Linked DNA regions of Coturnix japonica. The protein of the gene in region 2 purifies or fractionates together with the protein of the main gene of each other region. This does not show direct contact. Links are inferred from orthologs where the notes say so. Each region holds a gene or a part of one and is shown on either strand. Other genes may lie near its edges. The genes, in order: CRADD, PIDD1 and RIPK1.

Region 1 (4,221 bases), on a different chromosome or scaffold from region 2:
ATAGCACTCAGACCTGAGCAGATAGCAGGGAGCTGAGCCCACCCCAAACTGGATCATGTAGTGGTTTTTGTTTTTGGGATGGAACTGAACTGTTCTTCTGCAGTTTCACTGAAGTCAGACCAGACATGGAAGAACCGCAGTCAGAACCCAAGCAGAACCGCTCAGTGTGAGGGCTGCTCTCCCTGTGCTGTTCTGTGGCAGCAGGGTGAGCACTGAACGCAGTCACCGCTCACATTTGTGTCCCTGCTGATGAGACCCAAACAACTCATAGCGCGTTCAGCTCCCACCGGTGAATTTCAGACACCGCTTACAAACTTAGTGGAAAGAAAAGGAAACACCAGATTTTCCCTTTAATCAAACCTGGACCTCTGCCGTTGCCCTCTTCCTTCCCAGGCTTATCTCCTTCCTCCCACCGCTCTCCTTCTCTGCGTGTTTAGGCTGTAAGCAGCGACGTGACCGGCGCTGGCTGTGCTAAAGGCAACGAGGCTGCTGCTATTTATTAGAGAGGGAACCGGAGCCGCTCTGCGCACATCCATATGTTTTGCTAACTTTCTAAGATATTCTTGGACAGTATAAAATAAATAATCACAATTGCCTCAACTGGCAGAAAGAATGCAAGCTATCTAATGAACCGAGCCGCTCCTGTCCCTTCTCTGGGCTAAGACGTGGGTTCATTGTCTGCACTGAAAGCAGCCGCCAGGACGGCAGTGGGGTGGTACCGAAAGTCCCCAGGTTCGGTCCCTCCGGTTCTAAACACAATACAGTTCCTTCCATGGTGACCAGCGCTGAAAAACAAAGCAAAGCAAACATTGGCAAGCAGAGGTACAGGAAGTTAAGGAAGGAAACTTTCAGCAGTCACACGGCTGTGCACGAGGGATGATCTTTATATATATACATATATATAAGATCATATAAGATATATACCGAGCCGTGACAGCCGTGCTGCGGATACAGGCAGCCAGCTCCTCGTCACTCAGCGGCTGGCGGTGCCTCCCCGCGTGGTTTGCAGCTAAGCTCACCCGCATGCAGGCTGTCCTGCCCCTGTTCCTAGAAGGCTGAGGTGTGCCCGAGACAAAGCATTACCGCGGCTTAACGCACATACCGGAACGCAGCATCACCTAAAATAATTTTTTTACCAGTAAAAGCAATTTCAACCCCTAGCATCAAATTCATTATCCGCCCGCTATCGCACACCGACCCGCGTGTGCCGAGTGACCCAAAGCATTGCGACCCCCCCTTCTCTCCCAGCGGTGCGCGGGTTCCGCGGACCATCCGAGAGCGGGGGGGTGTTGGGCTGCCGTGGGCGAACACTCGGAGGGCAGCGGAGCGTCCGAACGGAGCCGGCCCCGCCGCTCCCGGCCCCATCCCGCGGCTCTCCTTCCCCCGGCAGCGTTTCCCCCGCCCCGCTCCCGCCGCCCCGGCTGCCCACAAGTGACATGGCGGCACCCCCCGCCCTCGCCGTCAGCGGGGCCGGTGGCGGCGCTCCCCCGGTCCTTCCGGCGGAGCCCTCAACAAAGATGGTGCTCCCCGCACCGGCTCCGCGGCCGCCGGGGCGCCGCGTGTAGTGCCCCGTTCTGCTCCGTAAGTACGGGGAGCGGGCGGAGGGCTCCCCCGCCCCGCGCCGTCCGCTCCCGGTCCGCTCCGGGGCCCGCGCTCCTCCGGCTCCGGGGCGGAAGAGCGGCCGAGCCGGCTGCCGGGCGGCGCCGCGGGGCGTTCGGGCCGCGGCCCCCCGCGCTGCGGAGCCGGGGCCGGGCTTCAGCGGGGCGGGCCGGGGCCTGCGGTACGGGCTGCAGCGACGCCGCCCCCGGAACGGAGCGGGGCAGGACGGGGCCGCGCTGCACGTTGGGCTCGGCGCTCCGCCGCCTGCGAAACCCGAGTGCGTAGGGCCGGGGAACGACGGGGCCGGGGGCGGGGTGGGGACGAGCTGCCTGAGGGCGAGCGGGGCGTTTGGTGCTGGGAAACGCCGACCTACGGCGGGAGGGGAACGGGGAGGGTGAGCTTTGGGAACGGGAGGTTCGTCTGCCTTCGTGGACGGGTCAGGAAAGCCCCAACATGTGCCTGCAGGTGTGGGGATGAGTCAGGGGCCGTGGGATGTGGAAGTGCGATTCCTGAAGTCTGCAGTGGAAAGATGTACGTTTAGGAGTGTCTGGGGTGGCTGTGCTGTGCCATCCTGCAGCTAAACTGGACTTACATCCGTTCCTTTCCCTTTAGCAGCAGTGTTATGAGCAAAGTTTACTTTCGAGCTCACCACAGACCTCTAGATACAGACTAATTAGAATTAATTGAAGGTGTTTCCCTGTTGCATTAAACTCTGGCCCTGTGCTTGCCTGCATCAAAACTCTGATAACGCCTCCATGTGTGTATGCCCGGTTCCTGAATCAGACGTGGTAACCACCCTTAAAGAAGCACTTTAAGCTTTAAAAAGACCCTAAATATCAATAAGCACCATCCTGGCAGTTGTTGGGCTGCTGACCTTGGTGGCGAGTGGCCAGAAACCAGGATGTTGAGTTTCACCCATCCCTAATGAGCATCCTGACACCAGCCACTGTCCGCCTCCTGGCTCTCACCATCACCACTCTCCATGATGGGGTTTGGTGTTTAGGCTAAACCCATCAACCAGGCCTTGCAAAGAACGAGTGCCAGTAGAGCTGCTGCTCAGCTCCAAGATGGCCCAAGGCAGAAGGTGAGCACCTCAAGCATCAGGGTAACCTGAGCAGGTGCCATCCAGTGCTGCATTCAGCACTCAGGGAGAAGTGTTTTCAGAAAGCTGCTATGTTAGAGGGTGTCACAGACAGGGTTTTCCAGTCCCTCCCTTTTGGCTTTTGTATTCTGTCTGGAACACCATTTGTGTGCTTGTCTGTTCTGTTGATTACCTGCCCTAAATGTCAACAATCAGGCCACATGGGCATGTCTTTAATGGAGAGTTAACAGGCATCTCTGACAGTAGAAAAACTTGAACGGAGCTTGTAAAAATCTTGGTCTCTCTCTGAATCTTCGAGCAAAATGAAATATAATTCCTGTACAGTCAAGCTGTTATAACAGCAACTTCTAATTTAATTACTAGAAATTCTCCTGGTAATCACATTCAACACCTGCTACAGTTTTTTTGGCTTCACGATTTAATCACAAGAAAGTATTTAATTGTATTACTAAGTCATTTTCCTTTGCAAGTGCCATTAATGGTCCTGGGGATATGTTTGTCATTAGGGACTAGACTAGACATCTTGATTTAGTTCCTAGCTTTGGCACTTACACTTGATTTGATCTTGGATGAGTCGCCTGGTCTCTCTGGACCTCGATTCCTCTTTCTCAGAATGGCTATAAAATGCATCTTTTCCAGCTTTTGTCTAGTTGGAGCATTAGTTGAGTGAAATGGAAGCTGGCAGGCAGCACCCGATTGCTTCCTATAAACACATTAGAGCGGTGAATACCAAGGAGGGAGAGAAAATGTCTAGGCTAAAGAATGATATTGGCAGAAAAAAAATGCCTATAAATAGAAGGTGAATAAATTTAAGATGGAAATTTGAGGAAAATTTCTCATCACCAGGTCAGTCGAGTCCTAAAAGAGCCGTCCAGGATGGGCTGGGGGAGAGAACGACCTGGTGCATGCAGGACATTCCACCCCTGCTGAAATTAGGATGTGTTGGGTTGCCAGAGCCACTTGCTGGCTGGCAGCAGTGCAGCAGCCCTCATGTCTTAGATGTTGAGACCAGAGGTTAGGTGTGACACTGGGCAACTTTCTGGGGTAGAGTCTCTCATGGACTGGCAAATGCTCCAGCTGCTTTGGGGGTGGACCTTGGCCAGTTAGTGAGCCAGGTACTTTGGCACGGTTGTCATTCCTTCTAAGCACTGGTCTTCACAATGTCAAAAACTCTTTTCCTGTCTAATATTTCCCAGAAATGGTTGTGTTTTAGCTTGTAAGACTTTATGATTCGAGCAGAAATGAGGTGGTGGAGATAGTAGTTTTCCCAGGCTGATGATGTTGAGAATTCTGTCTAAAGAATGTTGGGCATCAAACATCACTTGAGGGCGTTCATGGTTGGAATTTTAATCTTGCATCTCCCCACTCCTTATGTTCTAGGTTGCCAAATGGATGCCAGAGACAAGCAACTTTTGCGCTCCCTGCGCCTGGAGCTCTGCACGGAGGTGCTGGTGGATGGACTAGTTATTCAGTATCTCTATCAAGAAGGCATTCTCACCGACAGTCATGTTCAAGAAATA
Region 2 (4,290 bases):
ATGGAGTACCTGGGGAAAGGACCCAGTCAGCCCTGTGACCACAGGTGAAGGTAACTCAGCTGTGGGACTAAAAGGGGTGAAGCCTGGCTGCACCTCTCTTAGATCTCATTTAGGGCTGACTGCCACTCTGAAGCGATTTCTGATTGGAGATCTTTCCCTTATGGATTTTTCCCTACAAGCCCAGATCTTCAGAGAGGGGTGAGCACTTTTCCTTTGTAATGCCTTTCTATCACACTAGTCCCTTTGTTATTACATCTCCTGTATCACCATTCCACTGTGTTGATCTTTCTGATTATTACGCTCCATAACACAGAGCCTGATTTAAAGCTGTTTTGCTTCCTCTTAAGCCCCAGCTCTTCTGTTCCCAGTCCTGGATGCTCCCAAAAATCAGCCAGGCTAAACTCAACTATTTTAGGTTGCAGGAAAATCTTAGGAGCTTTTTGATTGACAGAAGCATGACCTACTAATGCCCACAGGGACTGACTCAACCAAGCATGGTTTTTTTGGACAACCCTCTCGTTTTGGCTTTAATGTAGCAGACACTTTGTCCTAGCAACCCTGGGAACAGAGGCAAAGGGCTCAGGGATCCTGGCCTGTATCAAAAACTGAGCAGACTCTCTTTCTTATCACCTAAGAAAACAGGTACCTAAAGAATCCGGGATTCTTGATAGCTGATTCCCAGAGAGATCCAGTTCTGTGCAGCTGTGCAGATTTCCAACCTCTTCAGGGAGAAGTTCCAATGCATTTTCTGAGAGATCCAGTTCTTCCAGTGCTGTCAGCTCCCCAATGCTCCGAGGTAAGTCCTTCAGCTGATTCTTCATAGCAGAGAAGAAAGTCAGCTTGCTCAGTGAGCCGAAGTTCTCAGGAAGTGCCACCAAGTTGTTGTGGCTCACTGAGAGCATGCGGAGGCTGGTGAGGCAAGGGATGCAGCTGGGCAGGGTGGAGAGGCTATTGAAGCTGAGATCTAAGTGAGTGAGACACCTCAGGGTCCCAAAATCTGGTGGTAAGCTTGTCAGGGAGCCACGCTGACACGAACCAAATTCATCTCTGACAAGGCCACCTAGGTGCAAAAGGAAGTAGGGGAAGAAGTCAATATAGTACGAGGACACCTCACCAGCCTCGTGTAACACTCCTTTCTGAAGCTATAACGTGGAGACTCAGATGATGTTTAACTTCTGATCACAATAAGCTGCACTGACTACAAAGTTTGGTAAGTTTTCTGCACCTTGCCTCCATTTCCTGATCTGTGAAAAGGGTATAATCACAAAGATCTACTGGGAAGATAATAGAGATATTACAGTGAACTCCTAGAACCCTGCTCAACACATGTGGGGGAGAGTTCAGAAAGAACCAGGCCACTCCACACACATACCATCACTCAGTGCAGTGACCCACACTCTTGCAAATCTCTGAACATCCTTCCCAACTCAGACTGGTGAATGGTTGCACCTTGGGAAAAGAAGTCAAGCACACAAAGCAAGCTTACAGAATTCTCCATCTCATCTTTGCCTCCTAGTCTCCTTCCACTGCTCTGCTCATGAAGGTATATAGGAGAGGGCAACTGTTGTTACGCTTCATAATGGCAAAGAATGTAAACAGTCTAAGAGAAACATTGTACCTGGGGCATCACAAAATGTAGTCCAACTATTTTATTGCACTTCAGGGTGTTCAGAGTACATGTGCATCTGGCAAAACAAGTATCATAAAAGGCATTGCCATTAGCCTCACCTTACCGCAGGAGAAAAGATAAATAAAATAACTGTATGAGATTTTATAAGCCATCTGTGGTAGGTGTAGAAATGAACCTCAGTCATGAGAGCTTTCAGCTGGAACCCTGAATTCTTTTCTCTCCCGTGATATTACAATTTTACCTCCCAAAGATCAAATGATTCAATCTAAAACAAAAATGGTGTCATTCATATTGAGAGCCTCCTACAATTCAGAGATAAGGAAATCAAGAGATGTTATAATTCCGACGTGTAACAGTTCTTAGGGAATGCTGAATGACACACACCCTGAGTTGTGCTTTAGATAAAATACCAAACAGCTTCTCCTGGTGTGTGCCCAGACCGTGCTCATTAACACAATGCAAGGATTAGGACTGATTCAGAACAGACCACAGCAAGGGCAGCTCATTACACTAACAGAAATTAAAGAGAAGCTGAGCGTTTATCAAAAATCAAATACTTTTCAATTTCCCTCTCCTTAAACAGCTGTGCAAAAAAAATGCTCTTCTTCTAGAGGATGGATAAAGAAATGCATCAACCTAACCGGGCTCCAAAGACTGGTCCACACGCAGCTGTAGAGGCAAAGGAAAGTTATAAATGTCTAGATGCTGATTCTTGTTGAAATCCGCATGCAGCTCTGAGCGAGACTAAGAGCCGATACCCCAGCACAGGGCAAAAAAGCTCTAAGGAATCTTGTTCTGCAGATGTGGAAAGATGGCTAAACACCAACACGAAGCTAATTGATGGGGTCCAGGAACTCACCTTTGAGCACCAGGGACTTCAGGCGCTTCAGATGCGGAAGGATGCTCAGCGCGGCGTCGAGCAGGTGATTGTTAGTGCTGAGCCGGAGGAGCTCCACCTGCACCACGTCTGCCTGTTGCCTCTCGAACAGCCAGAGCAGCTGCCAGCAGCCATCCGGATAAAGATCCAGAGTCAGCCTGTTGTCTGCCAAGCAGCAGCCAGTGAGTGAAGGAGCCCCCGGAGCCCCCTCCCCATCCTTGTCCCCGAGCTTCAGCAGTTCTGCCATCTTCTGCATCTTGTCCATCGGGGCCAGACATGCTCCGACTTGCTAGGTGGGCAGGCACCGGCAGGCTGCCGGGATGGGGAAGAGGAGAAAGGATGGTTCTGAAAGAGAGCAGATGTGCACAGTGATGGCCTCCTGCCCCAGCACAGGGTGGCTGGTAACTGCTTAAAGCCGCAACAAGAAGGCAGGAGGTGTGTTGTCAAAAGCTTTGTGGGCAGAAGGGACAGAAACACAGGGGCTCTGTAGGGGCTCCTGCTAAAGAACACATCTAAATTTTCCCAGCTGATTTTTTCCAACTCAGGGAATGGAGAAAATATGTGTTGCTCCAGTTATCCATCATAATAAACAGCAATAGGAACTTTAAAACGTATCAATGGAAGTGTCTATGCTTCGTGCAGAATACAAAGTGCCTCAGCGAGGAGGTCTGCATGCAAACAGGGAAAACGGGGCAGGGAATGCAGAGACAGGAGCAGCAGCTCTAAGCCAGTACGGGCTGCCACCAACCCCGTTGTGAAATCGGGTAACAGGGGCTGGAAAGCAGTCAAAGGGCAGTGGAGCAAATGCAGCCGAGCTGGGGAGAGGGTTTATATGGCAGGGTTAATGCACAGGGCACGGGGCTGCTGCCCTCACCAGCCAACAGGGCGCTGAGGTAGTTCTCTCCCCTCTCCCACGTTGCTGTGCCCGTACAGATGCGGCCGTGGACACCGTGCGCTGCTCCCAGCTGCAAAGCCAGCATGGGGAAACCGCTGTGCCCTTGAGGAGAGCAGGGGCAAGCCTTGCTAGGGGGAACAAGCAGCTCGTTGTGGGGTAGAACCCCACAGAAGGACTTTTAGCCGTGCAAAAGGGAACAACCCCTCCACCCTACAGCCCAACGCGCACGCGTGGCCATTGCATGCGGTCGCAAGCATCCGGCAGCTCCCCATTAGCCGGCCACCTTCCCCAATAGCAGCCGGCGTTGCTGAGAGGTGACGGGAAGAAGGCGTTGCCGTAGCTCCGCCCTTTCCTTTTGGCTGCCGGGCTGCCGTAGTGACCACACGTCCCGGGCCCGTCTCGCCCCATCGCCTCGCCAAGTGAGCGCGGGGCGGCTCCGTGCCCCGTACCCACAGCCCTTGTGCCGCTATGGGCGCTGCTGGCCCGGCCGCGGCACTCAGCGGGGCTTGGGCGGGACCGCTCCGGGCTGGGAGGGTGGGTGGGGGGGAATGGCGGCCATGTGCTCCGCAGGCCTGGGCCGCTGAGGGCGGACGGGACGGGACGGGATGGGATGGGATGGAGCGATGAACGGATCGGGGGCGTCGGGCCGTGCCGGGTGTTGGGTGTTGGGCCGGCGGGTGCTGCTGGGCACTGCGGGGTCAGCGGCCTCAATGCTGGGCCTGCAATGGCGGGAGGTGGGAATGCGGCCTGTCCCGCCACGGCCTTTATGTAATAAACACAGCGAGGGGAAAAGCAAACAAGGATTATTAAACTAGATCTGTGGCATTAAACACTTCGGCTTTGTTTTCCAGGATGCGTTACGTTGCAGCGTACCTCCTCGCTGTCCTC
Region 3 (3,246 bases), on a different chromosome or scaffold from region 2:
GGATCATTAATGGAGATTTTGAACAGGATTGGACTCAGTGATGACACATGGGGCACACTGATAGTTTCAAGCCTCAAACTAGACTTCAAATTACTGAACACTACCCTCTGGATCCAGTTATTCAACTAGTTTTCAAGTCACTGTGCACTTATCTAGCTCACAGTTATCAGCTTCTTTGCTAAGACCTTAGGAGAGACATTAATTATGAAATGTATCCCTATGTGCCAATTAAACTTATACTCATTTAGGTAAATGGTGTTCTCTGGCCAGCTCAGAATTACTACAGTTGCATTACAGTTCTTCCTCCTTTCACTGAAGATAAGATTTTGCCCATCTGTAGCAAAGCAGCGGCTATTTTCTGCAAGGCTCTGTCCTCTGTAAGATTGATGGAATCTGTTCACCCAGGTGACTTCAGTATAAGGATGTGTTTTCTATTCTATAGGTGCTTCCTCTCGTTAAGCTTTTACCTATAACTTGACCATATGCTCTTTTCTTACATGTAGGAAATGTGGCCCAAGTCAGAAGAACTGCTGCAGAGGATGAAATCCCTTCAAATAGATGCTGTAGTAGATACCAGCAATGGCCAAATAGGTGGGTGTTCCAAGTTGCATAACTAGCACATCATCCTGGCATGTACTCTGCTAAAGATAAAGTTGCCCCTTTTGTAGCTATGGAGAGACTCAGTCATTCAGTACTTCTAAAATCCAGTAGAAGTCAAATCCTACTAACTTTGCCCACACCACTGTAAAGATTTTATTAAGCAAGTAACTTGGAACTATAACAGGCAACCGATAAACCTTCACCAAAGCTATGTTTGCCATAACAGAAGTAGAACTATTGGACCTAGTAAGGCAGGCCAATTGCTGTACTTTTAAAGTAGCGTAGGTACATTTCCCTAGCAAAAATAATAATGTAAGACTACAGATTACAGATGCTTTTGTGCTTTTTTTTGGTGACATCTCCAGATAGGATTTCTACATAATCTTTTGCAGATATGACTTCAGTGACAAATTATTTGTGTTGCATTAAGTAACGCCAATTACAGTGAGTTCTATCTTCCATCTTGTTATACTCTGGTCTTACACTGGTTAAATACCAGTTAATGAAGTCAAGACTTGGTAGTAAATTAGACCCTATGAGTGCTGCTGGGAACCTGTTGTTTCAGTGACTAAGAACCTGGTGTCGATATATGCAGAATACACAGTGAATTCAGACACTGCTTTCCTAAGCATAATTCAGTGACACTTCCCAGAAAGGGAAGTATTACATAAAACAGCTTATGCTGGAAGTGATGCTACAGTTTCATCTTTTATAATTTACCATAGTATTAAAAATAAATTAATAGAATCTAATGTCACCACTAGTTATATACTTGCAATAGAATCTGTTTTAAATACTTCATTTTTTTCCCTTTCAGATCAACCTAATTCTCTACACAGCTCTCAGGGTCAGATTAATGAAGCCTTGTTTGCTGCCTACCCTGAGAACCAGCCTGTTGAGAGCTGTGAGACTTCGTTTACATCCCCTGACAATCTTGAAAGAAAACTTGAACGTGAATACGACTACCATGCATACGGCAGCCGGATGGATAAATCAGTAGCTCCACCATACAGCCCTGAAATGAGAGAGAGAGAAACGAGACCTAAAGTTTCCAATGATCCATTTGCAAAGCTGCCTTCTGTTCCTCAATGGGGTGAACTGTATTACAAAGCTGAAAATATAGGATCAAACACTAACCCTTGGTTTTGGCCAAAACAAGCTGCAATACCAACTCAGGGAAATTTAGAAAATTTTTATGGGCCAAACGTTAACAGTCTCCTAACAGGAAACACTGAAGATCGCTATGATCCATGTTCAACAAGTGCCTTTAGCCTAAGCAAAACTCCTGTGCCGGAATCTCGCCCAAACCTGGGGGCACAGAACAGCGTAAACCAGCAACAAAAGAATGCAGATGTGGATACAGGTGAGATTCTTCCTCCTCTTAACTCTTGTGTTTCTGAAAATGTGTTTTTTCCTCTAAAGACAAAGCAGCCTTAATAATAGCAGACAGTGGATAATACTGCAGCAGCTAACAAAACCAAGAGCTCTTACTAATCACACTTGGAAAACTAAGGAGTATTTTTGACTCACAGAATGTAACATTCACACCACAGGCTGTGTGCGCAAAAATGGAACTTTTCTCATGTATGTGCATGTAGCATTTCAGAAAAGAGATATTTAAGCTTGATTTGCAGCAAGTTAAGAGTTCAGGGAGCTAACAAGGAACTAAAGCTCTTAACTGGTTTCTCCAGAGAACACTGCTCAGTGCTAACACAGAGATGCCCTTACAGTTTGCTAGTGAACTGTGGAATAGAAAGCTATGGAGAAAACGAAGAGAACAGTGAGTGTCAGTAACAAGTGGAAGCAATCATTGTAGGGAGGCAACATACAATATCATGGCAGGCATCAGGCAGATGCAGAAGACCTGCACTGCAGTTCTTCTATTGTCTTATTTGGTGACCATAACCCAGTCACTCTTACTGCCCAGTCACAAACTGTCAGAGCTCATCTGAGCGCATCCAAATCCATTACTACATCAGACAGGAAGTTACATCTCTGCAGGACATTATTGCTACCAACAGAAGATACGGTGGCATCCCCAGCTACAGCTGGTCACAACTAACATGCTAACAAACCATGATCAGTCTCAGCAGTAAATAGCAATGTGCTCGGCAGCCTTCTTGGTTTGGAGGCAGTAATACCTGTGTCTACGCTGTGATCCTGTGCTGCTTTCTGCCAGGCAGGTGTTCATACACCCATGTGGAATCCTGTTGTTCTCACTGGGATCCAAGGATCACAAAGGCTATCAGTCCATAAGCAAAACCACAATAAGGGTAACTGCTTCAGAGTTATTAAAGGAGATAAAGTCCTGTTTGTTAAAAAACTTTCTGTCTTTTTGTATTTAAGAGCGCTATGCACACTGTACAAATAACAGCAGTACTTGTAGATTTGTTTTTTTTAATTTCCATAACACTTCTGGCATTTCCTCTCTCTTTAGGTATCAAGGTTTCTGCCTCTTTCACAAGGGGAACTTTCACATATTATCCTCCTGCAACTCCAATAACCAGAGGTAAATGCTGTAGCCTTTGTTTGTCTTGGTAGCCAACAGTTTATGCATTGCATTACGATCAGTGAGGAAAAAAGCTTCAGCATCTTCATCATCAGGCTGCCCAGGGGGGTGGTGGAGTCTCCTTCTCTGGACATATT

Evidence for each region.
Region 1: the proteins of PIDD1 (region 2) and CRADD purify together in Homo sapiens (affinity purification with western blotting; 8 studies listed by BioGRID and IntAct, with this or other methods). This does not show direct contact. The link is inferred for Coturnix japonica from reciprocal best matches to the Homo sapiens genes PIDD1 and CRADD.
Region 3: the proteins of PIDD1 (region 2) and RIPK1 purify together in Homo sapiens (affinity purification with western blotting; 3 studies listed by BioGRID and IntAct, with this or other methods). This does not show direct contact. The link is inferred for Coturnix japonica from reciprocal best matches to the Homo sapiens genes PIDD1 and RIPK1.

Annotation. Positions count from the first base shown.
Region 1 is NC_029516.1:40,902,208-40,906,428, forward strand, and holds the start of CRADD (death domain-containing protein CRADD), read left to right. Parts: upstream 1-1,415; 5' UTR 1,416-1,581; intron 1,582-1,748; exon of another isoform or gene 1,749-1,876; intron 1,877-4,081; 5' UTR 4,082-4,089; coding exon 4,090-4,221. UniProt on the Homo sapiens protein: Adapter protein that associates with PIDD1 and the caspase CASP2 to form the PIDDosome, a complex that activates CASP2 and triggers apoptosis.
Region 2 is NC_029520.1:8,843,276-8,847,565, forward strand, and holds the start of PIDD1 (p53-induced death domain-containing protein 1), read right to left. Parts: upstream 2,801-4,290; 5' UTR 2,773-2,800; coding exon 2,490-2,772; exon of another isoform or gene 2,214-2,489; intron 1,061-2,213; coding exon 647-1,060; exon of another isoform or gene 636-646; intron 1-635. Other genes in the region: RPLP2 (60S acidic ribosomal protein P2), read left to right, coding at 4,255-4,290. UniProt on the Homo sapiens protein: Component of the DNA damage/stress response pathway that functions downstream of p53/TP53 and can either promote cell survival or apoptosis.
Region 3 is NC_029517.1:63,195,073-63,198,318, forward strand, and holds part of RIPK1 (receptor-interacting serine/threonine-protein kinase 1), read left to right. Parts: intron 1-503; coding exon 504-591; intron 592-1,417; coding exon 1,418-1,963; intron 1,964-3,037; coding exon 3,038-3,109; intron 3,110-3,246. UniProt on the Homo sapiens protein: Serine-threonine kinase which is a key regulator of TNF-mediated apoptosis, necroptosis and inflammatory pathways.